4 linked regions of the Oreochromis niloticus genome follow. The protein of the gene in region 2 binds, or shares a complex with, the protein of the main gene of each other region. Links are inferred from orthologs where the notes say so. Each region holds a gene or a part of one and is shown on either strand. Other genes may lie near its edges. The genes, in order: ciao1, ercc2, mnat1 and gtf2a1.

Region 1 (8,094 bases), on a different chromosome or scaffold from region 2:
CCATTATCATTTCTGCTCTTGTGAAAATCATTTTTGTTTTCAGTTGTTTCTCAGTGAAGTCCCTTAAATGATGCCAGTCCAAGAATATAGTGTACAGGATCTGTTTGCCCACATGTAGTACAGACACATGGCTAACCAAGCCCCAGTCTGAGTTTTCAGTATAAGAGGTTTAACACTTTGTACTTTTGTGTCAGTTTTGAGATCTGACAAAAATTTAATTGGCCATTGTGGATTAAAGAAACACTTAAAAAGGAGATGTGCTTTATAAATCCTGGGGATAGTGCATCCTTAAACCAGGTAGGGTGCATAAAAACAACCGGCAACTATCCGGTTATATTTTGCATTCACATCATTTTATTATGAAATGTAATCCTTGGACTGGTTGAAGTGTTTTACTGTCTGAAATGTTTTTGCAATAAAAAGGAGAAGAAACATTTTTCACTTTATTTCATAGTTAAACATGTTATTTCTATTAATTCTCAGTGGCGCTGCTACTCAAAGCACATGAAGCAGTATTCTCAGCATGGACACAGATGAGCGCTGATGTCAAGCAGAATCCTGATGAGCTATAAAATAATGATCTGTGGTGAATGCCGCAGAAAGTTCCCAGTTTAACTCGTAACTATGCACTCCAGTGATGTTCATTCCTCTTCTTGGAACCTCCAAATGGCGATTTCTCCGTTATCGCTGCACGAAGCCAGGAGTCCCGCCTCCTTTGGGTTCCAGGACACGCAGTTAACATCTTGGTTGTGAGCTCTGGCCACTTGAGCAGCCAGCGAGAATACTGGCTCGTCGGGATTGGCTGTCTCATCCTCCTTGAAAACTCGCACTGCGTCATCACCACAGGCAGTTGCCAAAGCGCCAGTCAGCTGACACCTGAAGAAAGATTTAGGTTCACTGTGACGTCTAACAATGACAAATTCATGCACGTGGAGACCACATCTTTGGGATTTCTGGTGGTCAGTTAACCTCCACTTTATGTTCTCACATAATTCTCTGCATAGAGCACCACATATTCCTCACAAATTTCCCACGTGTGGGACTAATAAAGGTTATCTTATCTACTGCATTGTTACAGAGAAATTACAAGTTGTGGAACGCTTAACCACTGCTATCGCTAGACGATCTTAGAGGTGCAGTGTGTAAAAACGACTAGATGTCAGTAAATCTAAGAACAAATTCAGCTGAATTCTTTTTTCTAATAATCCTAGTTACAGTTTTCACCTCAAAAACTGCCATTAATCTGTAGCTAGTGTAAGCTGCTGATATGTCAGGTGAGACGTGCAGGTCTATTTACTTTGGAGGAGGCTGCAAAACTTACAGGGGTCCAATACAGGTCACTGAAGCTCATTTTTTATCCTATTACGGTGATACTGAGGTGAGTTGTTGAGCGATCTGCTGGGGTCGGCATTTGTGAATCTTTTTTTTGCCAATAAACTTTGAGAATCTAATGAAACACTGTAACAGCGGGAAAGTGTCACTTTTAGGACCCTCGAGCCTAACATTAGCTGGTATTAGAGGATCGCATGTCTAATCTGCCGACAATAAGTAACTGCAACAATATCAGGAATAAATTAGCATTTTCATGCATGTTTTTGTGTGTTAGAGCCCTGAGGTGAGGAAGAGGATGACATTTTTATTCAGTTACGGGTCACGCTGTTTCTTTCCTTTATGTTTTCACTTCCTTGGTGAACCCTTCTCAGATGGTAAAACATATGAATAATCTTTCATATCTTTAGTCTGAAGGTGAAAACACAAATTGCCTCCACACCACATGAATCCCCCGTCCTTTAGCATACTATATATCTGGCAAGTCTCTTCCTACATACATAAAACATGATTAGGCTGAACTGCAATCCTCATCTCGGTTACTCCATTCAAGATGGCGAGGCAACGTGGTGGCTTCCACACTTATGTATTTTTAATGGATTAAATCTAAGTTTATGAGAATGCATAAGATGTAATTACACACTAATAGATGTATGTTTATGTGCACAATGGTCTTTTTTTCTATTAAATGACTTCAAACAATGACTAATTGCACCTTTAATGATTGACTGAAGCATTTTACAAGAATGGCAGAGTACATTACAAAAATAGTCTTACCAGGAAACATCATACACCGTTCGTCCATGGTACCCAGACAGAGTGCAAACACACTTCCATGACAGATCTTAAACAGAAAAGCAGAAAAAAAAAAATACATATTGTCAATATTTTTATTACAGCATTGATTTATGATAAAACTAATTAGTCCTAACCATTGCTGACTCACCCGGTCCACTTTCAGCTGGATACTCTCTCCAGATCTTCACAGTGCGGTCATCGCTGCAGGAGGCCAGCCTCTGACCAGCCGCATCAAAACACAAACTCCACACTGTGGACGTGTGTCCCTGTAAGGTGGCCCGGCACTCCCAGTCATCATCCTCTTCTTTGTAAAGACAAATGTTGTTGTCATAGCTGGCTGAGGCCAGGAGCTGTACAAACACATGGTGAGTGCAGGGTCACGTGGTGTTGCAACTGGAGATGAAAAAACAATCATGTGGACAGATCCAAATGAGACCTACCTCCTGGGTCGGGTGCCAGACAACGTGCTTGACGTCTTGCGTGTGAGAGTTCACAACTGTAACACATTCATACTCGTCTTCTTCATCCACTGCAGAGCAGAAAGAGACAAGGTCAAGTATATAAACAGACAGTGGCGCAGATCAGTTAGTGCAATTTAGGCGCTCTTTAATACAAACCTTCCCAAACCCAGACGCTCTTGTCTCGGCTACATGTGGCTAGAAGATTCCCTGAAGGGGCCCACGCCACACACTTGACCTCGTTTTCGTGTCCTTCCAGCACAGTCAAACTCTAGGAGACAAAGTGTGGGTAACAATCTGCAAAGATGCAGCATTTCTAAGGCATGCCATTTAACACAATGAACAGGAGACCTGTCATCTGACCTCAAAGTCATCGTTCTTTTTTTTCCAGATGCAAGTGGTAGCATCAAAGCTTGCAGAGGCCAGATAATTCCCACAGGGAGACCAAGCCACTTTCCTCACGGTGCGCTGGTGTCCATCCTGCAGCACGTTCTTACATATCCAGGAGTCACCTGAAAAACGAGAGCAAGGTAAAGGGGTGAAGGATGTCAACTACTGTACTATAATGCTTTGTTATGCGACTGAGGCTGGGGGTGTCTGCGGTTCAGTTCATGGAGAGCTCACCTTCTTTCCCCCATATCCGGATGGTCTTGTCGCCCCCACATGAGGCCAGCAGCGTCCCGTTGGGGCTCCAGCTGACGAACCAGCAGCGGGAGTCCGGGTGTGCGCTCAACCTCTGAACCAGGGACAGAGCCTCCTTCATGGTCGAGCTGGGAAAATACTTCCGAGTCGCTGTCACTGACAGTTAGCCGAGAAACGAGACAGGAAATGGCCCGAAGCACCAAAAGCAGACAGAGAGCAGCAGCAGCACTACAGCCCTAAACCACAGTCAACAACCAGGGCACGGATACAAAAATGGCCGTATCTGCGCTGAACACAGTCTGTAACTAGCACCAAACAACAAAGTGCAGAAGTTCACAACATCACCGGTGAGCAAAATGCCGCCATCTTTACTTATCTAGTCCCCGCGCTGCATTGTGGGTTGCAGTTTCGTGGTCTTTTTTTTTCCCCTCGGGAAATTTCACGTAAAAAACAATTCCGTGAAATTTACGGTGTTTTATTTTATGTCGTGTTTTATTGTATTTTATTGATCTAAGGTTTTATCTTGTTTGTTCTTAACTAACTTGTAAAGCACTTTGGTCAGTCTTGTTTCTTTTAATTGTGCTATAAATTTTTGGTCATCTCTTTTTATGATTTCCTATGAAGTATTCACGCGAGCACCTTTATTTTGTTAATGTACAATGAGTGAGTTTAATAAAATAAAGAAGAGAATTTTATGTTATTGTATGATGACTTTCTGCCATAGGAGGAGTCGCCAGTAGGTGGGAGTACTGACTTTTACAGCTATCGAGTCCGCGAAGAAGAAGAATGGTATGAACAAGGAAGTCAAGTGTTTTCGAGGAAGCCAGCGGACGCTTCCTTTTGTTTTGTCTTTGTTTTTTGTGTACCAAATCTATCGTTATTTTTATTAGTATTGTTAGCTAGATTACTTTATAGACGTATGACTGTCGTGTCGGTCGCTGTTATAGTTATTTTTTGTAAAAAAAAGAAAAACTTGACGACATTTTGCGTTTACGAGAAGTTAGCTTTTCAGGCTAACAACAGAGCTAGCAGGCCTGAACCATCTGTCCATTGTGTTGCCGTCAGTCAGACACCTGAATTGCTTTTGATTAAACAGCTAGTTTTATGGTCTGTTTTAATTTGGAAACATTTGAAACCAGAGTGAACAAAGGAGCCGGGTCGCTGTCATCAGTCCAGAATTAGCTTTACCGGCTGTCGGTTTTTTGGCTGACTTGCTCGTTACTACCGCAGTGCTGTCAGGTACACTGACAATAAAGGGAAAGCAACACTATACAACAGAGGACGAGGAAATCGGATTAGGATGTATGCCCCGCCGGGTTCTACTGTCCCTGGAGGCCGAAGGAGGAGAGGCACCTCGTTGCCCAAGCAGCCGGAGCGGAGCCTTGTGTCGGCTCTTCCCGGAGCTCTGTCCATCACAGCGCTGTGTACAGCTCTGGCTGAGCCGGCTTGGCTCCGCGTCCACGGAGGAACCTGTCCGAGACAAGAGCTGGGGGTGTCAGATGTCCTGGGATACATTGACCCCAAGCTTCTGGATGGTGAGGCCCACACACAAGCTCCGTTAAAAACCCACAGCAGCAATTAATCCCAGATCTCACGTGTAATGCTCTGTGATGTGTCCGTCTGTTCCCATCAGATTACTGCGTGAACCCGCAGACCATCTTGCTGCTGAGAGTAATCGCTGCCTTTTGTTTCCTGGGAATCCTCTGTAGTCTGACTGCTTTTCTCTTGGATGTGTTTGGTCCCAAGCACCCTGCCCTGAAAATAACCCGCAGATATGCATTTGCACATATTCTCACAGGTAATAATCTTTTTTCCCCTCTTGCTGTCTAGAAAAAGACAGACAATGTGTAAATTCAATGATCTGTAACTGTCTCTTTCTGTCTCCCACCAGTGCTGCAGTGTGCCACAGTCATAGGTTTTTGCTACTGGGCCTCAGAGCTGATCTTGTCCCTACAGCAGCAGCACAAAAAGTACCACGGCTCTCTCATATACGTCACTTTTGCTATCAGCTTCTACCTGGTGGCGGGCGCGGGTGGAGCATCCATCCTCGCCACAGCTGCAAATCTTCTTCGTCACTACCCAACTGAGGAGGAAGAGCAGGCTTTAGAGCTGCTCTCGGAGATGGAGGACAGCAGTGAAACATTTCCTGCCGATTATGACATTGCCAATCAATTTCAACCGCCACCCGCATACACACCCTAATGCCACCAGACTCGCCTTTGTAACACCTTTCTCTCTCAGCACAGCTACTTAGCTTGATGGGCAAAGCCCAGCTCTTTATCAAATGGATATCTTTGCAAAAATACTCAGTGAACACAGCGTGTCAGTGCGCAGGTTCCTTGAATGACGGTGCTTGGGTGCATGAAAGCTTTCTTTAGTGGTGACAGAAATTTAGAAGCTAATTCTTACTTTCACCACTGGAGTTGTTAGTGAATTGCATGTAAATGGCTTTTAGGGATTTGGTCCTTACATGTAAAGAAAACTAAACTTGCTGGAAGTGCTCAACACGGCTCATGACAATTAATTGATGGAACAACCAGAGCTGGATCGTTTTAGTAGGATTTAGTTGAATGAGCGCTATCGGCGGTTGTTTTGCTCTCGATCGGACGTGAGTGGAGCTTTGTTTGCTTTATGGTTTTAGTTTGACGTGCTTGCCATTTGTGTGAATTTTATTTTACCGACACCTTACAGATGCAGAAATACACTGACAAGATTCTTTAAACATCTTTATTTTATATAAGATATCAGATTGGACCTTATTTATTGTCTGTGCTGTCTTTTTGTAGTTTTTGCTTTGTTCATCTTTTCACTAGTTAAATCTTTGTTCACTTCTGTACTTGAAATAAGAAAACTGTCAGAAATTGTGAGCCAGGTCTTTGGTGTTTTAAAACGAATCATGGTGTGTGTGTGTGTCCGCGCGCGCATGTGTGAGAAAGTGTGTGTGTGTGTGTAGCAATCGAGAGAAAGTGAGAAACATGTTTGTATTATTTCACAGTAAGGGTGACATTTAGTTTAAAAAACACCTCACCGCATCAGAAGTTGTTCATTATATTTCTCGTGTTTGCTTTTGAAAAAAAAAAAATTACTTGCACTTTGTGATTCCCACATGTGACCGTTTCAGTATGCATTTCCAGTGCATGAGTTCATTTGTGTGAAGACTTTAAACTTTGAGTCACCATCTAAACGAGAACATCTCACACAGGCAGAGGCTTGGACTTGTGACTGATGTTGTGATTCTAGTTGATTGTGTATTGTTCTGTTGATTCCATAATTTTCTGCATTTGTCCCTCAAACTGTCACTATAACCCCCCTTCCCTCCTCAATTTGTAAATAATGATCATTTATACATTTAAAAAAGAAGTGATCATAATAAAGGAAACCTCATACTTTTGCCTCTCGCTCGTCATCTGTGAATTAACATTGATTTATTGTGATTTCAGCAAATGCAGCCCGAAGGATCTGCGTTGATCTAACAGTGTTGTGACTTTAACATTTACGTCTGCCTGGGGTATTTCTGGTCTCGTAGTCTAGAGACTGTAGACACAACATGGCATTAAAGAGAGTAAGAGTCTTAAGGTCTAATGGACTTTAGTGGGCGTATGGTACGCCTTTTACTGTGAAGAGTTCAGAAGTATGAAGCAGTTTAAATGCTCGATCCATCCGTTTTCTTATCCATTTGAGGGTCGCAGTGAGGCTGGAGCCTAGGAGAGAGAGAGACTGGGTACGTCCAAGACAGGTCGCAAGTCTGTTGTAGGGCTAGCACAGAGAGGCAGAAAGCCAATCACAGTCACATTCACACAAATGAGCAATTCTGAATCACCTCTCACCCTACCAAGAACAGAGAAACCCCATAGAAAAAGCCCCATCTGACTGGGGGACTTGAACCCAGGACCTTTTTGCTGCTAAAAAAAAAAAAAGAGTCTTACTGGCAAAGACTGCAAGGCTTTTCCCGGATGCATAATGTGGTCAATATACAGACTTTAAATAATGAGCTAGCGTAGAATAACATATATCATGAGGCTAAATTACAGACTGTCAAGTTCTGCCACACTTCATAAATCAGATTACCTTAGATTACTTTGAACTAGCTAAACGCACAAGATTTAAACAATCCCTGTAATTGAATTGGGACAAAGGAGTAACTATAGAAAGCGGGGAAAAAAGGCTCACTCAGGCATCACATCGATTGTTGCCTTATATAAAAGACACTGTGACTGTTTTGCAAAAGTATATGTTAGCTGTTCTTCAAGTTCGCTTGTCTGCATCTGTTGCCAAGAGTTAAACTATTAAAAGGTCAAGATACTGTTTGGGTTGAAGCACTACATGTTTACATTGCTCTTCAAAGCTGAAGTGTCACTCTGTGGCCAAATGACTTAATCAGATAAATAAACAAGGTATTAATAGGAAAGAGTGTTCATGAGGAGGAGAGTAAGTCAGTCAAGGCGAACAAGAGACGGCTCTTCTCAGAAGACAGAGCTTACGTGGTAACGTCACTTAGCCCCACTCTGCAGGTATATATACGGACAACCTCGTTGACATCAACACCACGACCATTAAAAGTCTCTACGTGGCTCTGTGGTAAAACTGTGAAGTCTTTTATTTTTTAAAATTTTCTTCTACAACAGTGAGATTGAAGCTAAATCATGCTGGCAACCAGGGCTTTGCTGTCAAAACAAACGCTGGCTGTTCTTTCTCGCCAGCCTGCCTGCTTTGTGCACCAGGGTGACTACGGCAACTGGGGAAATACTAACGTTGCAGTGGTAAGTGATGCAGATCAGTCTGGGAGAAAGGAGCAGATCAACGGGTGTGGGTGTAGTTGTGATTTGGTGACTCCATGTGTTTCAGGTTTTCTCAGGATGCGGATGGT
Region 2 (8,320 bases):
CTCATTCATGTTAATTTACATCACATGGCCACATATTTGGCATTTTCACAGTAAAGGTTTCCCCAGTAACTCACTGAATAGCGAGCCAGATAGTAAGGACACCAGCCCTTCCTCCTGCCAAAGGCCTTGAGGTCATCAAGGTTGTAGATGCCAGCAGGAAGAGGCACCTGTCGGCCGACTGAATCGAACTCCTGCAACACAAAACAGGTTTTCCTGTTTTCCAGTTTTCAGGCATTGTAAACCTACAGTTTGTATCTGTGTTAAGATCAATGAGCTAAAAAGTCTCAAACTGAGACCTATAACACTTCCTGAGTTCATGTAGGCGACAGCCAGAAACCAAACACTTTTTTAATCTGCATATCTGATGGTGTCGAGTAGTTGCTGGATTTAAGTTTTCAGGCTGATTAAATGCTCCTAACTAATCACGTCGAGCCAGTAAGTTGTAATCATCCAGCACAGAAATGAACAGATTACTAAAGAATAGAAACCTGAACTTGTTTTTAAACTTTTAATCCATAAAGATCACAGAACTTACTCGTCTTTAAGCTTTATTAAGCATTCAAATGTATCTAAGTTTGCATGTAGCACAAAAAGGATCGTGCTTAAAGACAGCAGGAGTCAACCACATGCAACGCAATGCAGGAATAGTTACTAAGTTATACCTTCATATATGCATTTTAGTTATAGTGGTAAAAAACATTTTAGGGGGTTTAAATCTTATAAAATTCATGCATCTATTTTTGGATGCAAATCCAAGAGAAACACTCACAGTGTCACCACCACCACCATCTTCCTGCCTCTTTACCTCAGCAACCTCTTACACTTCATTTAAATCATGAGAGCTGATTTAGCCAGTTAGCATCCTAACTCAGTAGCATCACCGCCCCAAAAGCGCCTGACCCCACCGGTTATGTTGAACCCTGATGCTGTCGTGTCAACAGCCATTACAAAAAAATATCTTCTGCTTCTGTTGAAAAACACCATCTGATGTGAGTTCTTGCCTCGTAGAAGCGACAGACGGGCAGGTTGGGGTTGCTGTGATGTTGTGCGCGGATGTATGATGCTGTCAGACTGTGGCACTTCCCATCGACTTCCTTACCGAAGCGCAGAGAGCTCACCTGTGAGAAGACAAGCGTGTCGGTCACTTTTGAAAGGAGAAAGCTGAATCCTAAATCGCTCCTTTAGCTTCGTGGGATGCGGGTGTTCATACCTCAGGGTGGATGCAGAGGTTCTTCCTGGAGGAAAGAGCGAGAGCCAGGAAGTTGTTGCTCTCTCCTGTTTCTTTAGTGTAAAACTCCATCAGCTTCCTCAGCTCCTCCACAACCTTATCGGAAAGAATCAAACACACCATGTGAGACGTCGGGGCTTTGAACGCTTCTTCTTGTTTAATTCAAAAAGAAAGTTACACAGTAGAAACACGCTTCACTGACGACTGATTTGACGTCCACTCACCTTCTCGATCTCCGGAACTGTTCTAGAGCAGTAAATTAACTTGGTGACCTCCAGAGGGAAAGCCTGAGAGAGAGAGAACATATTTACATGCTGATCTACCACCAGCTGTTAGTATAAACCACTTATGAGAGAGGCTGAACTCACCCTTTGGTAGGCCACAATGAGGGACAGTAGAGAGATGGTCTTCCCTGTTCCTGACGGCATCTCCAAGACTCCATGACCCTGAACAGGAACAGGTTCGGTTAACACAGAAAGCAGCAGCTGAAAGTAAACACTCACTTTTAAACGTGAGCGAAATCTGAGATGGACACACTGTACTTCCCTGAAGGAGCAACACAATACGACACAGTGACACAAAAGGTAAAATCTGGACTAAATACTGTAACTTTAGGAATCATCTCTTCAACTCCAAGGAAGGAAAGAAGGAAAAAAGTAACTCAAATTTTAAAATACATACATGACTAGACTGATCACATCAAGAAAAAAATAGAACTTTTCTTTAACTGGAAACAGCAAAGAGCAGAAAATTTGATTATCTTAAATAACTGAAATAACAACTGGATAAAAAAGATGACTCGTCTTCCACCTTCTTCAGACCAAAATGAATCTATTGCTATGCTTGCATCCTCCTCTGTCCCCGACAGCAGCTGTACAGGCTTCATATATCAACCCCTTCGCATGTCCTCCTTCACCACATCCATTTTCTCTGAGTCCTTCCTCTTCTCTCCTGCCTGGCAGCTCCATCTTCAACACCCTCTGATCAATATATCCACTATCCCTCCTCTGCACACGTCCAAACCATCCCAGCCTCTCTAACTTTGTCTACAAACCATCTCAACCCTCTGATGTATTCAACTCTAATCTAACCATCCTCGTCAATCACAATGAAAATCTTAACATCCTCAGTTCAGCCTCCTGTCTTTTTTCAGTGCCACCGTCTTCAAACCAAACATTATACCAAATCTCACTACCATCTTGTAAACCTTGCCTTTCACTCTTTCTGATATCATTCTGTCACAAAGGACTCGTGACACTCATCTCCATCCAATCCACCTCTCTTCTCCACTGTTCATTCACACGTGTCATCCAACCTCTGGACTGATCGACAGTCCAGCTTACACCCAGGGTATTTTGTGTAGATAGGAGCACAGATGAACCTGTGCATGAAAACCACGCCTTCAGATTAACCTCTGACACCACCCACCTTGGCATCCAGCGTCCTCTTCAGCTCCAGCATGTAGGAGTACTGCTCGGGGTAGATGTAGTCATAGGGAAAATACACCAGCAGACCCTCAATGTTGAGCCTGCAAGGAAACAGCAATGATGCTAACAGTGCACAGCAGCTGTACAGACTTCATACTGGACTATCTTTAAGCCAAGTATGTGCGAATGAGTGCGAGACAGCTAAAATAAAAATTAAAACAGTGATTTGGATAAACTAGAGCCACAAAACTCTGATTTTATGTGGACTTGGCTCAGGTATGTCACAGTTGCTGGAAACGAGCTAACACTGAAAGCCCATGTTGTCTGTTTGTACTCAGTAAAACACTCACTTCATCTTCACAGCACGTTTAGCGGCAGCTCCTCTTCTTTTTACGTAACTTATGTTATTTTAAAACAGTCATTAAAATTTGAATGTGCGCAAAAAACACAAAACAAAACGCCGCATTAGCAACGCCACAGCCTGCTGCAGCATTTAATTCTTCTTCGTTTGTCGTTTAAACGCTATCAGACGGATTACGGCCCCCTACAGGCCAAAAGAAAAACTAAATAGTCCACTGTAATGCTTCGAAGTTACATTTAAAAACCCTTTATTTAATTAGTTTATAGTTAATGTCTCCTTATATTTATTTTATTTATGTATTTATATTTAAATTTGACGACGATTACTTCAACTGGAAGTGTTAGCCTGCTGCTATCGGCGCTAACTTTGACCACATTCGAGTCATATAACAATTTAATTTCCGGTGAATAGTTTGTAATATAAACGCTAAAATAACCCATCAGTTAGAATCGCACGAGCTTCAGTGTTTAATGGTATACTGTGTATTATCAAACAGCCGTTACATCTTACTGTGTAGAGGTAAATGTGACTTTTCGGTCGTTTTACTTTTTACGTTTTAATTATAATTCACAGCTGTGCTTTCTCGATGCTTTCGTTTATTATTTGGGCTTCAGCGTGTACAGCAAAGGCATGCATGTGTTGGGTAATTTCATTATATTTTTTTGTATTACTTGGAATACCCTACCCGAATAACTTTATTTTCACAGGCTTTTCCGGAAGTAGTTCTAAGTCAGCTGCATTAATGAGATTTTAGTCATTTTAAAGAGTTGCCATTCCAAAGAGTGACCACACGGGGGCAGCACATAGCAATAAAATCGCCCTTGTGCACACTATAACGTCTGATGTATCCTTTCAAAATACTCCGATTAGGAAGAATTTTTCATCCGCAACCAAAACAAAGTAATCTGAATTCTCAGAATATATTAATAAATAATTATAAATAGACCGACAACAAAATTAAACTTTTTTTTGCTGTCCAGATTCTTTAATTTCACACATATTAACATTTATTTATACAGATTTATACTTTTACTGCACCTGCACTGAATTGAAAACTAGTTTTTAATGGTTTGAAATTTAATCTGAAAACTATTAAAAAAGACTTTTTTTCCCTTTTTTTTTTTACTGTAATTACGTCACTGTGGTTCAGAGGTTTGGAAATCTTTATTCATCTCATCGCTGCATGTGAAAAACACCCATAAAGTATGCCTACTAGTGTTAATGTCTATAAAGCGTCTGTCTGCGAAGAAGAAACCGCAAAGTTTTTGCAGTAGGAAACATTTTATTCGTACATTTACAGATTAATCATACACCATAGATGACATTTGAATAATAGGCTACTGTGATCATGCAGACAGTGAATGTCAGGGAGGCAGAGAGTGAGCCACAGCATGTATAAAGACAGATATCTCAAAACTGATCAACAAAGCAGCACTTTTTCTTATTCTTACCCTTAAAGCTTTTAAACAACACCAACATTAAGCATACCCAGCTTCTCTCTGATGATAAAAAACTAAAAAACAAGGTTAAACCTGCCAGTGAAATGTTGATTAAATGGGATACAATCATATTAGAGGATGACAGTAAAGTCAGCAGCAGCGGAGTTGATGTAAAAGAGTGAAGATGTCAACATTTCAGCCCCAAATCACACCTTAGGAAGCCAAAATGAAGAATTTAACCTGCAGCATTAAACTAGTAGTATTAGCAGTTTGTAGCTTAGTCTATGTACGTAACATGAACTCTGCTGCAGAAATACACATTTATCCTGAAAGAATTAATAGCTGTGCAGCTGGAGATTCCTCCTGTTTTCCCAGGCCGATCTGGAGACAAGTATATTTGACTCTGCAGAGAAGTGAGCAGGAAATCCTCAGTGAGAGTCAGATTAACAGGCGATACAGATTAAAGGGAGCAGTGGTGATGTTACTGCAACTGTGCTGGTTAACTTGGAGCAGGGTTGCCAACTTTCAGCTGTCAGTTGGGGTGAGATGAGGGTGGCGATGTTTATGTGGGATAATTAAACACAAAAAATGATGCAGGTCACAGGTGAAGGACAGCCTGTATTTCCTCTCATAACTTGTTTGTGCAAGCGATTCGGTAGTTTTGGCACACTTCTCTATCCCACACTGGGATGTACTTGTGGATCAGCACAGCTGTTTCACTTTTTTATACTAGGTCCATTAAAAATTTGGGAGGCTGTCGCAGAATGTGGGACAGTTTTTAAAGATGATAATCTTTTTTTTGTCATTTTTGGATCACTCCTCGCTTTAAATAACCTAGAGAGAGGTGCTGCGACATATTTTAGGTAATTTTCAGGATAAATCTGCCAAATTTGTTTTGCTAGTAAAATTCTAAACACCTCTTGGCTTATTTTATTGGTTAAATTAATGATTAGAGGTGTCATCCTCCTATACAGCCTGCTGTTATGGTAAACATCCATAAACACTGTAAGTTGAAAAGTTTTGTTGCAGGGTTAGTTAATAGTTCTAAATAACTAATAAAGTTAGCTCTGTTGGACTGTTTTGGTAAATATGTGCAGCTGTTTCGCTGTGGGGACACTCACATGTATCCTTGTGAAGTTGCAGGTATTTAATACACTCACAGGAAAGACTTCCCCCATCAGCTGAAAGCAACAGGATGTTTATGGACCTGTTTTGTTCTAAAATGGGCAGAAAACACCTGCCCAAAACATACATGCAAATGGGTGTATTTTTTTTAAATAAAGGAGGGTCTGCAGGTTTCTTTGGACACCGTGAGAATGACGGTGTGCACGTAACCGTTGGCAACCCCATGTTATAGTTTAAAATCTATGTGCATGAGGTTCAGCTTTGAAGGCTCGAGCAGCAACGTCCTGCATTTCAAGCTTCTTGAAGTCTTTTATCACCTTCAGACTCGGCTCCCAGGAGTAGGCGGAAATATAAGTTCCCCTCCCTCCTCCGTCAGTCCCTCCATCTTTTGTCTCCATCAGTCTGTTCAGAGTTTTAAAGGATATATTAAACCATGTATAAAAATATCTTTTTGTCTCATTAATCTCAATCACAGCTCGCAGTGGTTGTCCTCAGCTTTGTAGCGGTCCATGATGCTCAACACATCCTCCAGGATGGATGGGCCCAGATCCAGGTTCAACCCCGCAATGGAGTCGGAGCGCGACACACCGGAGGGCTTTGTGAGGCCGGCGGGGTGGAAGACGGTGCAGGGTGACTCGCTGCGTTCGCTTCGAAGATCCTCGTTGCTCAGGTAGGTGTCGGAGTCCAGGCTGAGGCCCCGGCGAACGTCCTGCGGCCCGCAGATCTCTGACATGGAGTCCTCAGAGGAGCCCTCAGAGAGGGAGCCGGAGGAGGGGACGAGTCTGCGGATAGCTGGGGAGAGGGAGATGTCACGGCAGGGCTCGGACGCCAAGCGACCCACCACGCCATTCTCACAGAGCGACACGGTCGGGTGCTGCTGGCGCTGACCGTCTGTCTGGCTGCAGCCATTGTTCTGTTTGGGGGTCGCCGCAGGAGGGTGCTGATGGTGGTGGGAGGGACCATCCAGATGGAGGCGTGGCGGTTTGGGTGGAGCCTGTTCGTGAGCGATGAACACAGGCATGGAGATGGTGTTCTTCAGCAGGCCGCTGGACGAGTGCTGGTAATGGTAGCCGTTAAAAGCGTAGCTGTGCACGTCCTCTTTCGCGGTGAGGCCGTCTCCCAGGTCTCTCTCCACACTGTGCGAGCGGGCGTGGCCGTTCTGCGTCCGGCTCGTGGGTGGCAGCATGTCCATCTTACCCTGGAGGAAGCCGACGTCTCCAAACATGTCGCCCTCGCCTTCAGGCCCCACGTGGGCACTGTGACGCACGTCGCCCAGCGGGGGGCTGATCATGTCACCTGAGAGGACGTCCCGGAGCTTCAGCTTCTTTCCCTTCTTGGGAGTCGTTGTCTTTAGGTACATTGGCGTCTTTGCAGGCATCTTGATGTGGATGTTGGGTTCCTCGGGCCGTTTGAGCTCCAGCAGGAGAAATTCAGCGGAAAGCAAACAGCACTGAGTTGATAAGAAGCTCTCTTGGCTGTTTTTCCCACTCTCAGCTCAGATATCCAGTCTGTTCTGCTTCTCCAAGCGAGTAAACAAGTATTTGGGTCGGTCAGAGTAGCGATAGCAACCTGGCGGTTGAGCCTCACACTGACATGTGACTCAGGAAGGGAGAGGAGAAAGGCCTTGACCTCAGATCAGCTCCCTCTGTCTTCCCCTCCTACGCAGAAAATCCATATCAAAGCAAACGCCGAGCCCTCGTCTCCTCAAACTCTCGTCTTTATCCCGGCTCAGGCAAACAGCATGCAGGGGATCAAGACTGGGATCTCTGGCTGCCTCGCCGTCTGCTGCCCGGTCAGTCCTCCAAGTTCCTCAGAAACTTCAGGAATGTGACATCAAAACACTGGAGATCTGTGAGGAGAAATCAGAGCGAAAAGGGAGTCAAAAAGAGGCCGAAAGAGATCGAGGGGAAGAGGAAAAGCAGATAGATGGGACAGAGGGAGGAATGAAGCCAGGGGGGAGATTTACAAGCACTTTTTTCAGAGAGCCAGAGGACACTTGAAGGAAAACACTCCAAGAATCCACAGTGTTTGCTCAGAGGGCCCTGCCTGCCCCACACTGTGTGAAAATGTGTGACTGGAGGTCCTCGGGCTGCTCTTACAGAGTCACGCATTAGTCTCGCATTCCCAAAGACCCTTCAGCTTCGTCAGTGGAAACACAAATTACCACACCGAAACTGTCGGTTTTAAAACACCTCGTGCCTAATCACAGCATCTCATCAGGAAATAAAGTGTCTTTCCCGAGAAAGACACAGGGAACACCCGAAGCCTCGAGATCAGAACTCCAGTTATTTAACTGGTTAAACATGTAGAAGTGCAGGTTTTTCAGGACCACAGTTAATACAGTTTATCCACAGCTCTTCAGTTTCCACTCATTTACTTTAGTCATAGCAGATTAAAGCTACTAACACTGAGAGTCGCCTCACCAATGGTTAGAAAACAATAAAAGGGGTGAAAAAACAGGCAAATATCCGATACTGACAAAGTGTCTGAAGTGTGAATTTGTTCTGTGCTCAGTAACGCCATGACCTTATGCCTCTGTGCTAAATTGCTTGGGTATGGAAAAAAACGGCTAGTGTGAATGGCTGAAAGAGGCCAGTAGTAAAAAGCAGTTTGTGTGCTCAGTAAGAGCAGAAAAGAGTAGTTAAGTACCAGTCCTAAGTTTTTACATCTACAGTGCTTAAAAAATGTATTAGAGCACCTGTCATAAAGACAAGTACACAAATAATTTAGACATCTGTCA
Region 3 (7,652 bases), on a different chromosome or scaffold from region 2:
CAGAGACTCCACTTGGTACCTGGACCAGGCTGTAGCCACCCAGCTGCAGAGCGCCTGATGGGGAGCTGAATGTCAGAACAGAGGAGCCTCCGTTCTGGGCAGCCATGGTGTGAACCCCTTCCAGCTTCACCTCTGACCCATTCACACAGCCAGCGTAAGATGCATATGGCAGGGTGGACTCCTCAGCATTCCCTAGTCCTTTGTCCTCTCCTGTCTGCATCTGCATGTCCACTCCAGAGCCCCCCAGCAGCACCCCTCCAGAGGGTCTCAGAGGGTTAAAAGCCAGGGGCTGGATGCCCAAATTGAGCCCGTTGAAGAGGATGTTTCCAGGTGAGTGGAGGTAAGATGATCCACCGTTGTGAAATACAGTAGAGGGCGTGTTACTGGTCACTAGACTTCCATTGTAGAGACCGCCACTGCTGGATCCAGGAGGCATTTTGATGTCCCCAATTTGTTGGATGACCACCCCACTGTCCAGAGGTCCCGTTTGAATAGGAAGGTTCCCGTGGGTTATCACCCCATCTGAAGAATTGGAGAGAGGACGAGGAGACAGCTCCTCCTGGCCTTTACTGGACTCATCCTCTGTGCTGTGGTTTCCATCTGATTCGCTGTAGAAAAACAAAAGAGGAGGGAGAAAGATGACAAATGGTGTGTAACAAAACAGAGGAAAATAAAAAGGGAAAATTTGTGTACCATTTGTATACATTTCTGGGAAGGAAGCACACGATAAACACGGACACAATTAGACCATAAACTCGTATAATGGAATTCATTTCATTTCCACCCACATTTTGCTTTTAAGCCAGACTCACATTTATTGCTGGGTTATTACAAAGCTTTGAAGGCAGGCTGTGTCTGTGGATGTGTAGCCCTCATGGAGAGCTGCATGGACAACCACCAGGCAGTGTCAACAACCGTGCAACCATTTGGCGCAATAAATTCTGGAGTGACAAAATGCTAGCTCTGACAGGACAAATGGCTTCAAGTATTTATTTACTTGTTTTGCCTCTGATTTGGGACGTTCTAATGAAAATTCTTATTTTTAATTTTCCAAGAATAACAAAGTGAAAGAATAGGAGCAACTATATTAGCAGCCTCATTTTGTTTACTAGCCCCCTTTTAAAAGACTGATTAAAACAGCTGCACCACTTCACACCCCCACTCCCCCTAAGGGACACACACACACACGCATCTAAACCCACCACTTCCAGGAAAATATAAAAGGCTGTTACACGTTAAAAAAAAAAAAAAAAAAAAAAAAAAAAAAAAAAAAAAAAAACAGAAAAAAAAGAAAAAGAAATCCAAGGTTTATAAAGATTTAAAAACTTTCAAATTATTATTTTTCACTGGCGATTTTAAGACAGCCTACGATCGCGTGTATGTGCCTGTGTGTGTGCGCGCGTGCGTGCGCGTGTGTGGTTAGAGACACAGAGGGGTCACCTCCACCAGGTGTGCGTCATCTTTGTTCACACAGAGGGAAACATGAAAGAATAGCGTGCACATGTCAGTCTGTTTGTCTGCGGGATTATGAAATGAAGCGCAGGAGTTGATGGAAGCTCTGAGATCCTTTCTTGATCCAAAAGGAAGAAGGGGAGGGGGGGAAAAAAGAAGTCATGATCATGAAAATGATTTATGTGCCGCTGGGTACAAGCGCACCCCCAAGTGTGTTCGTGCGCGCGCTGAAACAAACACACACACACACACACACACACACACACACACACACACACACACCACGAATAGATAAGAAGATATTAACCTTTCAAGTCATCTTTTGAACCGTCTCATTAAAGTTGCCCACTCCCCGCGTCTGATAGTTTAATCGCTGAAGTGTGTATTTTGTTGCTTATGGTTTCCATGCCTCTTAGCACCAACGCACTTGAAACTTGATCTGAATGGCAACAGCTTCATATTTCAAAACATTAAAAGCGTGCTCCTAACCCCTTTACAAATACATTTTTGTGTTTCTGAACTATGAATAGTTAATGATTTAAATTGTTCGTTTTTATTTGTGAGGCCGGCAAGACGATTATGAAATACACTCGGTATTGTCAGTAATCGAACTTAGTCCAACTGGATAATATAGGCGCTTTTCCATTAAAAACAACAACAACTTTTAAATACTTGGTAAAGTTAATCGGCGTTCATTTTAATTAAAGGGCCTTTTACGCACATAACCTTCAGAAGTAATTTTATTGCCGTTTGATGAGCGATCTGTGACGGGAAAAGGTCTGTGGTGTGCTCCTTTTGTTGCCTCACCTTTTTGATTGTGCTTCCGACGGGTTTCTGTCTCTCTGTCTCCTGTTTTTGAACCAGTTGCTGACCTGGGTCAAGGAGAGTCCGGTTATCTTGGCGAGATTTCTTTTCTCGGCTGGAGACGGGTACCTATTTTGATTATACAGATCCTTCAGTGCGTTCCGCGACCTCTCCTTGAAACAATAAACAGTCTCCTCGCCGTCCCAGATAGTCCTGGGGAGAGGATACTTTCTCCGAATTCGGTACTTGTCCACTGCGCCCAGGGGTCTCCCCCGCGCCTTCTCCGCCTCGGTGTACCGCGCTTTGTACCACAGATCTTGCAGAAAGGTGTGGTTGGACGGACTAAAACTGTGGTTCTCCAAAATACTGTAGAGCTCCTGATACCGAGCCTGATGGAAAGCTACGAGGGCTTGGGCTTTCAGGATGCTTTCGTTGCCCCGTAGCAGGTCACTCTGTGGCAGGGACCACAGGAACCTGGCCAGCCGGTCCACATTGCCTCCCTGCTGCAGTGCCTCGCAGACACACGCCACTTGCTCCGGGGAGAAAGCCAGAGAGGAAGCGGCACTCACCAACAGCTCAGTGCGCACCGCGTCAGTGCTAGGAGTCGTGCGCTCCATGGGCAACTCCGCCGCGTCCAGCGCCACAAGCTTGATGCACTCCCGCGTATCCACCTCCTTCACATTTTCCCTCTTGATGTCATTTGCTGTTGTGACTTCTCCGGCAGAAGAAGAAGACATTTTTTTTTTTTTGGTTCAAGCCTTCCCTGGTAAAGTCACTCCTCCCCGCTCGATCAGGTTACCTCCTCGCCATGCGAATGCGATCGGATATCTGACAGCAGCTGTAAGTAGATATCTCTCTCCCCTTTTCCTTCCAACGTGACTTTTACTCTGCGGGGACTGGAGCTGGAGGGAGACACGCTGGGGTCTATCTACAGGAGCGCCTCGCTATTGGCCGTCGAGGGCCCGTAAGGGAGGAGCAAGCATGGATTCAGACGCGAATGTTTGGTTTCCAGCTGTCAGTCATATAACTTCCAGTAGATTACCGTAGCTCACCTGTGCAAGGTGAGTGCTTTTGTGATCGTGGGAACGGGATATCTTTGTTGTCTGTATTGTCAGGAGATCCTTTGTCTGTAGGCATGCACATAAAAGACTGTTTTATTTCCATCTCGATGTATGGAAATCCAAACGGAAGTAATGCTGGGAATACTGTCACTCACTTTATTTAGGCAGTTTAAACTTATTTTGACAAGTTTTAAAGTAATAAATGTTAACTAAAAATAGATATCAGATTTGCCCACACTTTAAATATGTTTTTATTGTTATTTCAGGTATGAAAGTGATAGTTTCAGCACAGATCCTGCTTTAAGTGGCTGTTGCGAGGTTGCACCCCCTCCCACCGAAGACTGGATCAGAACATTATAAGCGACCAAAGTAATGTCAGAAAAAAACAGCCCACCCCTATGAAAATGTAGCCCACCCCTTCAAAGATATCATATGTGGACTATACCTCAAATTTCTCCCAAGAGTAGCTCATTCCCAAATCAGGTGATCTGTCTAGCATCAGGTAACAAGTGTCCAACACCACATCATTACTGATATTTGAACTTTAAATTATGTTTTCATTTAATCTTTTATAGTAAAAGAGTCTCAGATCGTCTTAACAATTACTAGCATCCACATATAGTCAATAAACCAGTATAGCTCAAGCACTGGGCGGAAAGAAAACTAAAATATTAAAATATCAAAGTAATTCCCCCAAAGTTCACGTTCATGATTTCATAACACTAATTTAATGTAACTTATGAGTTGTTTTTTCCAAATTCACAATCATCCAGAAACGATATGATGTCAGAAACCCTGGGAAACAATGTCTGGGTTGATTTTTGTTTTTAATTGTGTTTCTGCTGAGACTTACAAGATCATATGCAAGTTTTTTATATATATATATTTACTCCACTACTACCATTACTACTACTACTACTACTATTACTACTAGCTAAAGTTATTTATTTACTTAATTTATTGTACCTCGCTTCCACTGGGACTCCCTAGCAGCCCCTGTATGTGTGTGCCAGCAGCAATTTGCACCTCTCCTCTAAAAGCGATCATTAAATAGGAACCCATCTTATTAATGTCGTTTCCCGTCGGACCTCATTTTGTGTAACGCAGCGGTTCGCAGCTTGGAAACTGACAGGAGAGCTGCAAGTTGTTGACGTGTTTTGTTTCTGAAGTGCTTTATTATTATTGCCATTATTTTTTGGTGTGGTGCAGACAGAAATGGACGAACAGGGCTGTCCGAGATGTAAAACAACCAAATACAGAAACCCGTCGCTGAAGCTGATGGTGAACGTCTGCGGCCACACGCTGTGAGTATTCACACCTGACAGCTACAAGGAAAGAGGTGCAACAATCCTCCACAACATCGCGGCGTTTCTGCTCCAGGCTGCTCAAAAAGACACGCAAACACAAAAGCACCCCCCAAAAGCAGCTGTAATATAGCGTTTAAAACTGTTTCCGCACATACATCTCAAGTCTTAATGGGGGGGACTTGGACGTAAACAAAACTGATAAGCCTCGAATGCTGACGGTTTGTTGGGCTAGCTCATATTTATAGTCTGGCTGTTAAATAGCTGTGTCAGTGTAGACAGTAAGTGTGCTTTAGAGGTGGGTTATGTTTCCTGATAGAGCTACACAATTGCAAAGCTAGGCTAATGCTGCTGGTAAACATAGTATAGCGGCCATTGTTTACATATGACCTACACTGGCTGTAAGCAGCTCAGCTTAGAGACCTCTGTAGAAAAGCAGACCCTGCAGTTGTGTCTTTTTTTGTGTGCGTGGAAAGTACAGCAAGTTTAGGATGGCAGGGGGAAAAGTGACTAATGATGAGGAGCATAAACACCCTGTGCTGTTTTTAACCACATAATGAATATGAATTATTCAGAGGTTTTTGAAAAGGGCCAGCTGAAAGGTGCAAATCAAATTCGAGTTTGACTGCGCAAGTTTTTCCATGTTAATCTGCCAACCTAACTAAAAGCTACATTTTTATTTAAATGGCTGCATCTCTGTCACAGGTCTGGCTTGATTTGATCAACCACAGCTTGGAATTTGTCATTTTTGCATTAAACAGAAAATATAATGCAAAACCAAAACCTAAAATAATTTATTTTATTATTATAAGAGGTAATGATGAGATGGTTTGGAGGGGGGATATGTTGGTTAAAGGATATTGAAGATGGAGCTACCTTGCAGGAGGAAAAGAGAGAGGCCACAGTGATGGAGGAAATGCAGAGGGTTGGTTTGACAGAAGAGGATGAAAGGGAGAGAATAGGGTGAGATGGAGGTAGATGATTCACTGTGGCTACCCCTAAAGGGATCATATGAAAGAAGTAGAAGATTATGATTATTATTTGCATAACATACAGAAATGGATGAAAAGTTAGCATGTTTCCATTTGTTTTTATTCTGTTACTGCTGAGCAGTGTCATCATGTCGATACTTCGCCGTGCATTTTTCAGCATTTAACCTTGTCCGCCCTTTAAAAACATGGACGTTTAAATAAAGGGGACATGTTCTCCATGAGCATTATGCAGCGACAGTGGTAGCTTGATGAGCACATCTTTTTCGACCCTGTCTGTTTATTGACCGTGCCATCAGGAAGTGGTCGTGCTTTGTCATCAGGTCAGCGGGCTCATAACTCACTGCCTCTGTCTGGATGCAGGACTACACACAGAAAATTAAAATGATTCTGCAATGAAGCAATTTGGAGAGATGTCCTAGCCCGGGTCACCTTGGATCTGTTCCTCAGAGCCGGTGCGACGGTGAATTTATGCATCACTTGGAAACTGCTGTACTCCCTAATCATATTAGTATTTTCATCACTGATGCTTTTTGGCTTTTCTTTTCTGTTTTTCCCCTTTTTTGCAGCGAGTCTTACAGAAATGCTACAAGATCTGTAACTCTGATCAGTTTCAGAGTTATCCATTTTCTCATTTTTAATCAACAACGCTCTTCAGAAAAACTATATAAGAAAAAGAGAATCCAAGAGGTTAATGCACATGGTTAGTTTTTAGATGGTTATATAGTTTTTGACTCTGTGCGCCACCATATAGATTTTAAATTTTCAAAAATCAAGATATTGTTGAAGTTCAGACTTTCATCTTTAATTCAAGGGGCTAAACAAAAGCAAACAAACAAAAGCCTTTGGATAAATGAAACTAAGATGAATGAATATATACCAGAATTATTTAAAGAGAAAAGTATGGAGAAAGAGCGAAACAGCTCCTGATCTAAAGCATATCACATCATCTGTCAAACATGGCGGAGGCAGTCTTATGGGATGAACAAATATGTCTGCCAGTGGAACCTGGTCACTAGTGTTTGACAACGTGACTGCCGATAGAAGCAACACGATGAATAATGAAGCATACAGAGCTATACTCTCTGCTCTCATTCAGCCAAATGCTGTAATACTGATCAACGAGCTCTTCAAAGTACAAATGGATAATGACCCAAAGCTTATTGCAAAGCCAACCCAAGAGTTTCTCAAGCCAAAGAAACTGGATATGCTTCAATGGCCAAGTCAGTCACCTGATCTCAAACCAGTAGAGCATGCTTTTCAGTTACTGAAGACAAAACTGAAGGTAGAGACCCACGATTGTCGACCTGTCCTGGGTGTACCCTGCCTTTCACCCTATGGTAGCTGGGATAGGCTGCAGCCGCCCCGCAGCCTTGATAAGGATAAGCAGAAGAGAACAGTTTGATTCCCAGCATCTCCAGTCTGCATGTCCTTGGTATGAGAGAGTGTATGTGATAGGTAAAATGGTTTAAAGATGTAGAATGAAGTGCTGTTTGTATGTGTGTGTGGTAGCATAAAGCACTTTAAATGTTCATGAAGTATAGGAAGGGTTTATATGAACACCGACCTGTTTACCAGGAGAAAGTAGCACTAGTGAGAGCACAAAGCAGTTCAGTTATTCAGAGCGATAACGCTAATACAACACAACCAATTCTTCGCAAAACAAGTCATTTGAAGATATCGCCCAGGCCTCTGTGAAACCTTTTTGTTCAGTGACTGTCCATTAAAGGATTAATTGACTTATTGAGATACATATACTAGATGAATCATAAACAGCTGAGAATAGTTGGACTCCATTTAGATAAATGTAAGACTGTCTCTTCTTTGAGTGGCCCGTCCAGTCTGCGCTGACTAGCCTTCAGCGGTTGCATTATTAAGCTTCTCCATGCATCTAAATTTAAACTCCACTGCAGCACATTTTGTATCCTTGTCACAGGGGCATTTGATGTGGGTTATTTATTACCTTTGCACAATGACACTGGGTCCGTGTCCTTTGGCATTTGACACTGGGCACAGGCAGGCAAAAACAGTTGTAGCTGAGG
Region 4 (7,829 bases), on a different chromosome or scaffold from region 2:
GAAGACCCAGGACTGTTGAGAAGCTAGAATCCTGTATCAGAAAGGAATGGGACAACATTCCTCTCCAAGTCCAGCAGCTGGTCTCAGTTCCCAGATGTTTACAGACTGTTGTTAAAGAAGAGGGGATAAACATGGCTCTGTCCCAACTTTTTAGACATATTATGTCATTAATTCAAAATGACCTTTTTTTCTTAAAACGACAAATTTTCTCAGTTTTTGATACGTGATATTATGTGTTCTATTGTAATAAAATATGGGTTTATTAGATTTGCATTTACATAAAATGTATTTACATTTTATACAGTATCTCAATTTTTTTAATTGGGTTTGACCTTTTAAGATAAGATAAGAAGAACTTTATGTACCCTGAGGGAAATTCTTTTGTCATAAACATGCTCAACGCAACAAGCGGGAAAAAGAGTGCAGATAAAATAAAATAACTATCAGTAAAAGTAATTATGACAAGTGACATAATGTTAGTGCAATGAATAAAGAGAGTAGTGACATATGATAGGGGGGTGAAACAAACATTCAGTTTACTGCACTGGCAGTGTGTCCGCCTTCCACATGGCATCACATGGTGGATCAACATCTGATAGTACTGTGTTCATAATCCCATCAGCTCTGACAAGGTTCCCAACTCTTCTGCCTGAAATGCAGCCCAAACCAGGACTGAGCCTCCACCGTGTTTTACAAATGGCTGCAGACACTCACCGTCGGACCTTCTTGACAGCCAACCCTCCACTGAGATCATTTCTGATGAGACTTTATTAAACATGGACAGAGGCGTCTCTCAGGTCCTGTGTCAGATCTTTGCTGGATTTCTTAAGGACATGACTTTCAGATAATGTTCATCTTAGGCCTGTCACTCCTTTTGTCCTCCACTTGTCCAGTTTCCTCACATTTCTACGGATACACTGTACAAAGAGGCCAAAATTCCAGCGAATTCCAGCTAATAGCTCTTCGGGAACCACAAGCTGTGCTATCTTGGGCATTTTTTGTAAGACTTTGACTAATTAAACGTTTTTGCAACAAGCTGCTAATAGCAAAGTACCTAAACATACTACTAAAAATAGGTTCCTTGCTAAGGTGTCTGTTTTAGGCACAACACTGGTTAATTTCTTCAGTTGGGTGCCTTTTGTTATGCTTGAGTAATGCATAGGTCAGTGTTAAACAGCTCCTCTGAAAATGGTCAGGTACAAGGACTGGACTGGAAATGACTGAAAAAGCAAAGGAAAACTTTGAAATCCCACTTTGAGCCCACCTTGAATTTCTCTTAAAAATTCAAAAAAAAATCTGCCTCCTTGGAAGCAAAATAAAATAATATAGAAATTAAGTGTCTCAAGACTTTTGCACACTGCAAGCCAATTTGCAACCCACCTCCACCACACATAAACTGCTGTAAATCAACCATTCTGACTGAGTTTTGTTAAGAACATATTTACTGGAAGCTGATCAGAGTACTAAACAATTAGCTGTTTTCATCTCAGCGCTTCAAGTGAAATGTAGTAAAGGATGTCAGCCTTTGTCATCCACCTCCTCAGCACCACACACAAACCCCCACTTACTAGTAAAGTGCTAGCTTTGTGATACTAGAGACTCTAATTTGCTCTCAAGACTGACCCCAATCATTAACCTCACATATTCCCATCAACAAGGGTCTTATCATAACCAAGCCTTTCCCGCCAGTTAATTATTCATTTGCTTCCTCTAATCATTTAAGTTCAATACTTCTGATTAAAGTCCTGCTCCCCCTCCCTAAGGGAAAGAAGTAAAAGAGTTAAGTGTACCAAAGAGTGCCTCCGTGTCTTATCAATCTGAGTGGTGCCATTTTGGAGCCGTGTGGCAGTGGAAGCCCATTCATAATTGAAGCAGAGACCGGCTTAATCTTGAGCCAGTGCCTCCCTGTGCAGCACGCTCCCACCACAACACAACTGGAGCTAGCAGCTCCTCTGTTGCTATGCAACTACAGCAAAGAAGAAGAGGGGGGTGAGAAAAGAAAAGTGTGCATTCTCTGGATCTTTAGAGGGCATCTTACTACTCAGTTACAGAGAGTGAGACTCAAAGGTAGCGACGACATTTCACGGATAACCTGGCTTCACGTCTGATCAAATCTCACATTTAGAAGCACAGATTAAACAAAGTCTTTTTCCTATCATGTCACTTCTTTCCTCTTTTTCCCTCCCCAACTGTTCTCCACTGGAAAAGGTTTAAAGTGAATCCAACAGCACATCCTTGTCAGGGGCGGACAGGCCTTTAATTTCATCTCAGTGAACTAAATGAAATGAATTCAGGTGGTGTAATATGCCATTTCAGAAGAGCCACACTGAACCGCTGAGTGGATTGATGCACGCGGAGAGCTGTGTGCTCCCCGGTCTATATCATCCATATCCTCAGAATGACCAGCGAGGCAAGTTTCCATGGAGACAGAAGTGGAGGTAACGTTCTCTTGTCAGCTCTCATTTGTTGCAAAGCTTTATTGTTTTTTTGTGGGGGGTAAATTTCCCCCTTGGTAGTCAGGGCAAGTCTGTTTCAGAGCAAGCAAACAAGACCAGTGGATGTTGCTCATCCAAAAATTCACTTAAATCTGCTTTTATTGAATAACGTGGAAAACAGTTGCGTGCTTTACAAAGTGGATTGTGTGAGTGTGTGTGAGTGTGTTTGTGTGTGAGTGTTGAAATGTGAAATAGAGAGCCTGTTTTCCTGGTGCGTGGTGTGATCGCCCTCTTGTGGTGGCACAATGTTACTACATAAAGCACACTGGCCCCACAGAGAAGCATTACAGATGCAGTTACGGAGCTGGTAAAGGTCAGACTTGTTTAAGTGGCACCTGTGTTGTATTAAAGTATTAAAGTGTGCACCAGCAGTGAAAGAAGCATTCGGACCCTCTGCTTAGGTAAAAGTAGTGTTGAGCTAACACAAGGTCCAACTATTAAGTGCAAAAGTCAATTAAACTGTTGGTGTTGTTACAAGTGAATACATTAAAAAATTATTAGCACTATTTCTTAAATAGCCTTTATGTATTATATGTGATAAGAATATCATGTTTTCCTTATTAATAATGGTTAAATCTATAAACATGTTGGCACTGACAACCGTATAGTGACAATAAAGGCATTCTATTCTATTCTATATGTATATTTTTTAAAATATTACATTTAATCTGCAACAACCAACCTTGGCCATTAGACAAAAGTATTTCTCCAGACATGTTGAATAAAACAGTTAACGTTAAAAGAGACATACTATTTCCTGATATTTATTATTATTGTTGACCTTTACCAGTGGCTCAAGAGTTGGGAGCTCGCTTTGTAATCGGAAGGTTGCCCCGGCTTGGACAGTCTCGGTCGTTGTGTCCTTGGGCAAGACACTTCACCCATTGCCTACTGGTGGTGGTCCAGCAGCCTCGCCTCTGTCAGTGCGCCCCAGGGTGGCTGTGGTTACAATGTAGCTTGCCATCACCACTGTGTGAATGGGTGGATGACTGGATGTGTAAAGCGCTTTGGGGTCCTTAGGGACTAGTAATACAGGCCATTTACCATTTAGTGCAGCTTTACATGAGTCGTAGATTAAAAATAATCTGTATTTATCCTATAGTGGTCTTTGGTTTATTCACTTTCTAAGATGAGCTGCTTTAGGTTCTGATTGACAGCCCCTCAGAAACCCCTGAGAAAACCTGTCTAAAGCCACCTCAAGGCCTGAGCTTTTAGCTCATGATTTGTACATATGCTGAAGGCATTATTTGAAAGTTTGCCCATATTTAATATGAGCATCCACCACTGCAGCATACAGTTCTAGTATATGATGGAAAACAGGAAAAACAATAGAATGCCTATTGTATGTATAGGCAAAAAAAGAAAGAAAAAATGAAATAAGTTCATTTAAAATGATTCACCTATATGCTAATAAGCTTTTATTAGCATTTTAAGTAATCAGCAACTTTTATCTCATTAATTTCTCTATTTTTAATTCATCATATGGTTTCTAATATTTACAGTTTCCCTGACTCAATAAACAAGATCACAGAGAATTAAGCTAATGCGATCAGAGGATTCAGTTCCGTTTTCTAAAAAAAAAAAGAAAGAAAAAAAGCATTATTAAACTACATTTCCCATGAGCGGCTCTATTGATTGGTCGTCATACTCCGCACGAAATCTCGCGCTATGTGCGACCTGACCCTGCCCTATGTCTCGCGCACTCGCAGCTTCTTCGCTCAGTATATAAAGCAGGACAACGACGGAAGGAGGACGGCTGGGGAGTCGCAGCCCGGGATTGTAAATAAGACCGCCTAAACTGTGTTTTATTTACAAAAGTGATGCCGGCTGTTTTAAAATATCTTTCCCAGTTGTTTTAAATCGTTTTTCGTAATTTTTGGCTCTATTCCTCGCCTATTTCCGTGTGGTTTTTACACTACGCGTATAATGGCGAGCTCGGCTAACTCGAACCCAGTGGTAAGGATCAATCTCTAAGGATTGTCAGCGGGGGAAAATGGGGGTAAAGTTATTGGAAAGCTGTCGACGAGCTGGTGTTATGTATTACAGTAAAATGAGTCTGCTTTAACAAACACTTCACTGTTATATCTATTAAAGGGAATACTTAAGTTTCAGTCAATCGGCCATTATAATCAGTTTTCGAAACTAGGTAGTTCTTTCATTTGAAACCATCTCGGAGGAGGAATGGCTTACTTTAGAGAGGCAGTGTTTGAGTAAAAATAAGAACACGTGTAGAAACTGAGGTTTAGCGATGAACATGTAATTCTAGTTTGGTGGTTTTTCGGCAGGTTGAAGCTTTCATTAGTTGGAAGGTTTACGTGATCACAGTAATGTCTAATAGCGTGTATGGCTAAATTCATTTTTGGTGGACGCTTGAGCTGCCAGTTTAGTTTAAAATGCTTGTTTGTTCGTAGAAGGAAGAAATTGTCAATTTAAGTTTTTATTATTGGATAGCTTATGAAATACAGATGTACGCAAAGCACATTGTCATCATCCACGGCGAGAGAATTGAGCGTTTAATATATATAGTTTATATATATTAAAACCTCAGTAGAAAGTCGTCAACTGCCTCATCATTGTCCACCATTCCACGACCAGAAGGCAGGGTAGCCGTCCCAAACCACTTCTTTAACCCATACCATATCAAATTTGTCCTTGCTACCTGCCAGCAGAGCCAAAAAATATTTAGCCAAAGCTGAGCACTGATAAGATAAGACACCGAAAATGTCCTTCACATTCCGCCACACACTGTTTAAAAGAAAAAGGCTGTCGAGCGCGCACTCTGCGGCTCCGTAAAATGGCTTCCTCGTCTCCCTTCTCTCTCTCGGTTCTGGCCCTCCTCCTTTCCGCTGCCTGGTTTTTATACAGCCATATTGGCTCTCTAATATAGACTGCCCGGGATGGGAAGGTGCTACTCGACGCTACGTCACCGGCTCTACATATAAACAGCAGACTGAGCTTTAAATAGTGAGGAGCAGACAGGCCGAGGGGGAGGGAAGGAGAGACCGAGGTCTGCGCTGCGGACATCGGGGCAGCGCAGTGCGGTGGCCCGCGTGTGTGTCGCTTTGTTTCAGCCTCATATCACTCCGCTGAGACGGGACCGTAGGGCCCTGGCGGAGCTCTGAACGTTATGCGTTTGCTTTTTCCGCCGCGCGCGCAGTTCAGACCCCGGGGACATGATGTTTACCTTAGTAGTAGTAACATAAAGAGCTAGTTTATATGGGTTAGCATAACAAGCCACGTAGTGCCGTGCACACGCTGCAGCCCGAACCCCCACACATGATTCTCAAGTGGGGGCAGTTTTAGAGTTTAGCTGACCGCGTGCAACAGCTATTACCGTGTTATACCAATTAAAGCCAGTGTGGCAAGGCGTAAATAAATATGATAATTATAACACCATCAGCTGTATACCTAATGTTTTGCTGTCGTTTTGGCAGCTGGAAGCCCAAAGAGGAGGTGTGCTTGCTAAATACACTGTTGAGGGCTAATTTTGACATAAAACCCAAGCTCATAATGATCAATACTGACTGTACCAGACATGTTGTTCATGTTTTACTGGAAAAGGCAAAAGTGTCTATAATATAAACAGCATACTGTAAAAGTTTATTTCCTCTTCTTTTTTTTCTTCCTCCCAGCCTAAATTATACAAGAATGTGATTGACGATGTGATCAGTGAGGTGCGAGAGCTGTTCCTGGATGAGGGAGTAGATGAGCAAGTTCTTCTGGAGCTGAAAACGGTAACCGTCCTTACCAATGTTGCACCTGTATATAGCAACTGCAGGGGAAATGCTGCCTACTGCAGAGGTGTGCGCTCTTTGTAGTAAAGTGTACTGTAGCACGCTCCCCCAAACCGGAGCGCTTTTGAATGACTGCTGACCACTTCCTAGTTTGGAAGCTGCTGTAGTTGTTGTCTGGATGGACAGAAAACAAACTTCTGGAAACTTTCTGATTAAGTCACAAAAATGGCATCCATGTTTTGTCCCCCGGTTACCATGGTTTCCTTTGATGGATGGTGCTCTCAGTGCCACTGATGTGTTGCAGAATTTGCTTTGCAGCGACTTCAGTATGAGTTTTCTGGTGCAATCACCACCTTATATTCGAGTGTTACTTTCAGTAGGGCTGTTATAACACAGACGTATGCCTGTGATTTGCAGAGAAGGTGGTGTCTGAATACCACTGAAATGACAACACAACCAGTGTGTACACTGCATGATATGCTCAATTCAAGAGGAGGCTATGGCACATAAGCCTACCTAGGCAATGAGATTGACACAAATAAGCAAAAATTCAATCTTCGCTTCATGGTTTCTTTGACCTCTTTTCACTTTGAGTTTGTGACCCATTAGTTAATATTGGTCTCTGGCTCTCTTTTACCTGGTTCCCTCCCTGAGCCTGGTTCTGTTGAAGCTTTCTTCCTGTTAAAAGGGAGATTTTCCTTCCCACTGTTGCCAAACACTTGCTCACAGTGACTCGTTTAATTGTTAGGTTTTCTCTGTATTATTGTACCTTACAATATGAAGCACCTTGAAGGTGACTGTTGTTGTGACTATATAAATAAAGCAGAATTAATTTGAACTATCGGCATGTCTGGACAGTGTGATGCGTTTACAGGTGTGTCGATAATGACAGAATTTGCGTTAAACATTTACCTGGATGGAGATTTTCATTTGAAAACATGTTAGCATGGATTTAAATGGAGTCTTTGGCAGCTTTCTAACACATGTCTTTGTGCTGCCTCTGTTTGTTTCTACAGCTATGGGAGAACAAGCTGTTGCAGTCCAAGGCAGTGGAGGGCTTCCATACTGAGGAGCAGACAGCCCTGCAGGCCGCACAGCAGCAGCAACAACAAGTTCAGCAGGTCCAACAAGTCCAGCAGGTGGCCCAGCCAGCTCAGACCCAGCAAGTCATCCTGCCGCCCCAGCAACAGCAAGGTTAGCCAGCAGTGGCACACAGTGGTAAAAACAAGTGCAAAAACCCGTGAATGCCTTTTTGGGCACTAAAAATGTCGCCTGCAGCTTTGAGTTATTTGCCAAACTGGCACAGGAAACAATGAATGCTTACTGATCGTGTGCATTGTTTGTACACTTTTTGAATAATATGAGGAATTTTAGTGTTTCTTGGTATGACCTGAAATGTTTGTCTCCGCAGCTCCCCAGCAGCAAGTCATTGTTCAGGAATCTAAGCTTATACAACACATGGGTGGAACGGGGATGGTGAGTGGATCATGTGCACCAAAAAAAAATGAAACTGTTGTTCGGGGAGGCAAATAAAAAGTAGCAAATGTATCTATTAACATACATAGGCGATGAGAAAGCCATATGTGTGATGAACAGAACA

What was found.
Region 1: ercc2 (region 2) and ciao1 share a complex: the UniProt entries of both Homo sapiens proteins name them as parts of the MMXD complex. The link is inferred for Oreochromis niloticus from reciprocal best matches to the Homo sapiens genes ERCC2 and CIAO1.
Region 3: the proteins of ercc2 (region 2) and mnat1 are in contact, whole or in part, in a crystal structure (PDB 6TUN), measured with the Homo sapiens proteins. The link is inferred for Oreochromis niloticus from reciprocal best matches to the Homo sapiens genes ERCC2 and MNAT1. Residues at the interface, in NP_000391.1 of Homo sapiens: Lys274, Tyr285, Ala318, Val319, Pro320, Gly321, Ser322, Arg324, Thr325, Glu327, His328, Arg334, Arg335, Glu338, Gln363, Arg364, Val365, Cys366, Gln368, Lys370; in NP_002422.1 of Homo sapiens: Val68, Glu71, Val72, Arg75, Lys76, Leu79, Arg85, Glu86, Leu92, Tyr95, Asn96, Asp97, Leu99, Glu100, Glu103, Glu104, Phe107.
Region 4: ercc2 (region 2) and gtf2a1 share a complex: the UniProt entries of both Homo sapiens proteins name them as parts of the TBP-based Pol II pre-initiation complex. The link is inferred for Oreochromis niloticus from reciprocal best matches to the Homo sapiens genes ERCC2 and GTF2A1.

The regions. Positions count from the first base shown.
Region 1 is NC_031977.2:12,290,889-12,298,982, forward strand, and holds ciao1 (putative cytosolic iron-sulfur protein assembly protein ciao1), read right to left. Parts: upstream 3,630-8,094; 5' UTR 3,349-3,629; coding exon 3,210-3,348; intron 3,098-3,209; coding exon 2,949-3,097; intron 2,857-2,948; coding exon 2,745-2,856; intron 2,657-2,744; coding exon 2,568-2,656; intron 2,478-2,567; coding exon 2,276-2,477; intron 2,174-2,275; coding exon 2,107-2,173; intron 877-2,106; coding exon 642-876; 3' UTR 4-641; downstream 1-3. Other genes in the region: tmem127 (transmembrane protein 127), read left to right, coding at 4,528-4,762, 4,861-5,025, 5,119-5,429; gatd3l (ES1 protein, mitochondrial), read left to right, coding at 7,871-7,987, 8,073-8,094. UniProt on the Homo sapiens protein: Key component of the cytosolic iron-sulfur protein assembly (CIA) complex, a multiprotein complex that mediates the incorporation of iron-sulfur cluster into extramitochondrial Fe/S proteins.
Region 2 is NC_031979.2:34,778,741-34,787,060, forward strand, and holds the start of ercc2 (general transcription and DNA repair factor IIH helicase subunit XPD), read right to left. Parts: upstream 3,188-8,320; 5' UTR 3,011-3,187; coding exon 3,006-3,010; intron 2,757-3,005; coding exon 2,657-2,756; intron 1,675-2,656; coding exon 1,597-1,674; intron 1,516-1,596; coding exon 1,453-1,515; intron 1,325-1,452; coding exon 1,211-1,324; intron 1,119-1,210; coding exon 1,002-1,118; intron 192-1,001; coding exon 75-191; intron 1-74. Other genes in the region: zgc:154093 (cdc42 effector protein 3), read right to left, coding at 6,050-6,958. UniProt on the Homo sapiens protein: ATP-dependent 5'-3' DNA helicase. Component of the general transcription and DNA repair factor IIH (TFIIH) core complex, not absolutely essential for minimal transcription in vitro.
Region 3 is NC_031983.2:11,876,571-11,884,222, forward strand, and holds the start of mnat1 (CDK-activating kinase assembly factor MAT1), read left to right. Parts: upstream 1-4,390; 5' UTR 4,391-4,532; coding exon 4,533-4,621; intron 4,622-7,652. Other genes in the region: homeobox protein SIX4a, read right to left, coding at 1-608, 2,260-2,993.
Region 4 is NC_031980.2:2,234,019-2,241,847, forward strand, and holds the start of gtf2a1 (transcription initiation factor IIA subunit 1), read left to right. Parts: upstream 1-4,207; 5' UTR 4,208-4,421; coding exon 4,422-4,451; intron 4,452-6,127; coding exon 6,128-6,229; intron 6,230-7,245; coding exon 7,246-7,423; intron 7,424-7,640; coding exon 7,641-7,705; intron 7,706-7,829. UniProt on the Homo sapiens protein: TFIIA is a component of the transcription machinery of RNA polymerase II and plays an important role in transcriptional activation. TFIIA in a complex with TBP mediates transcriptional activity.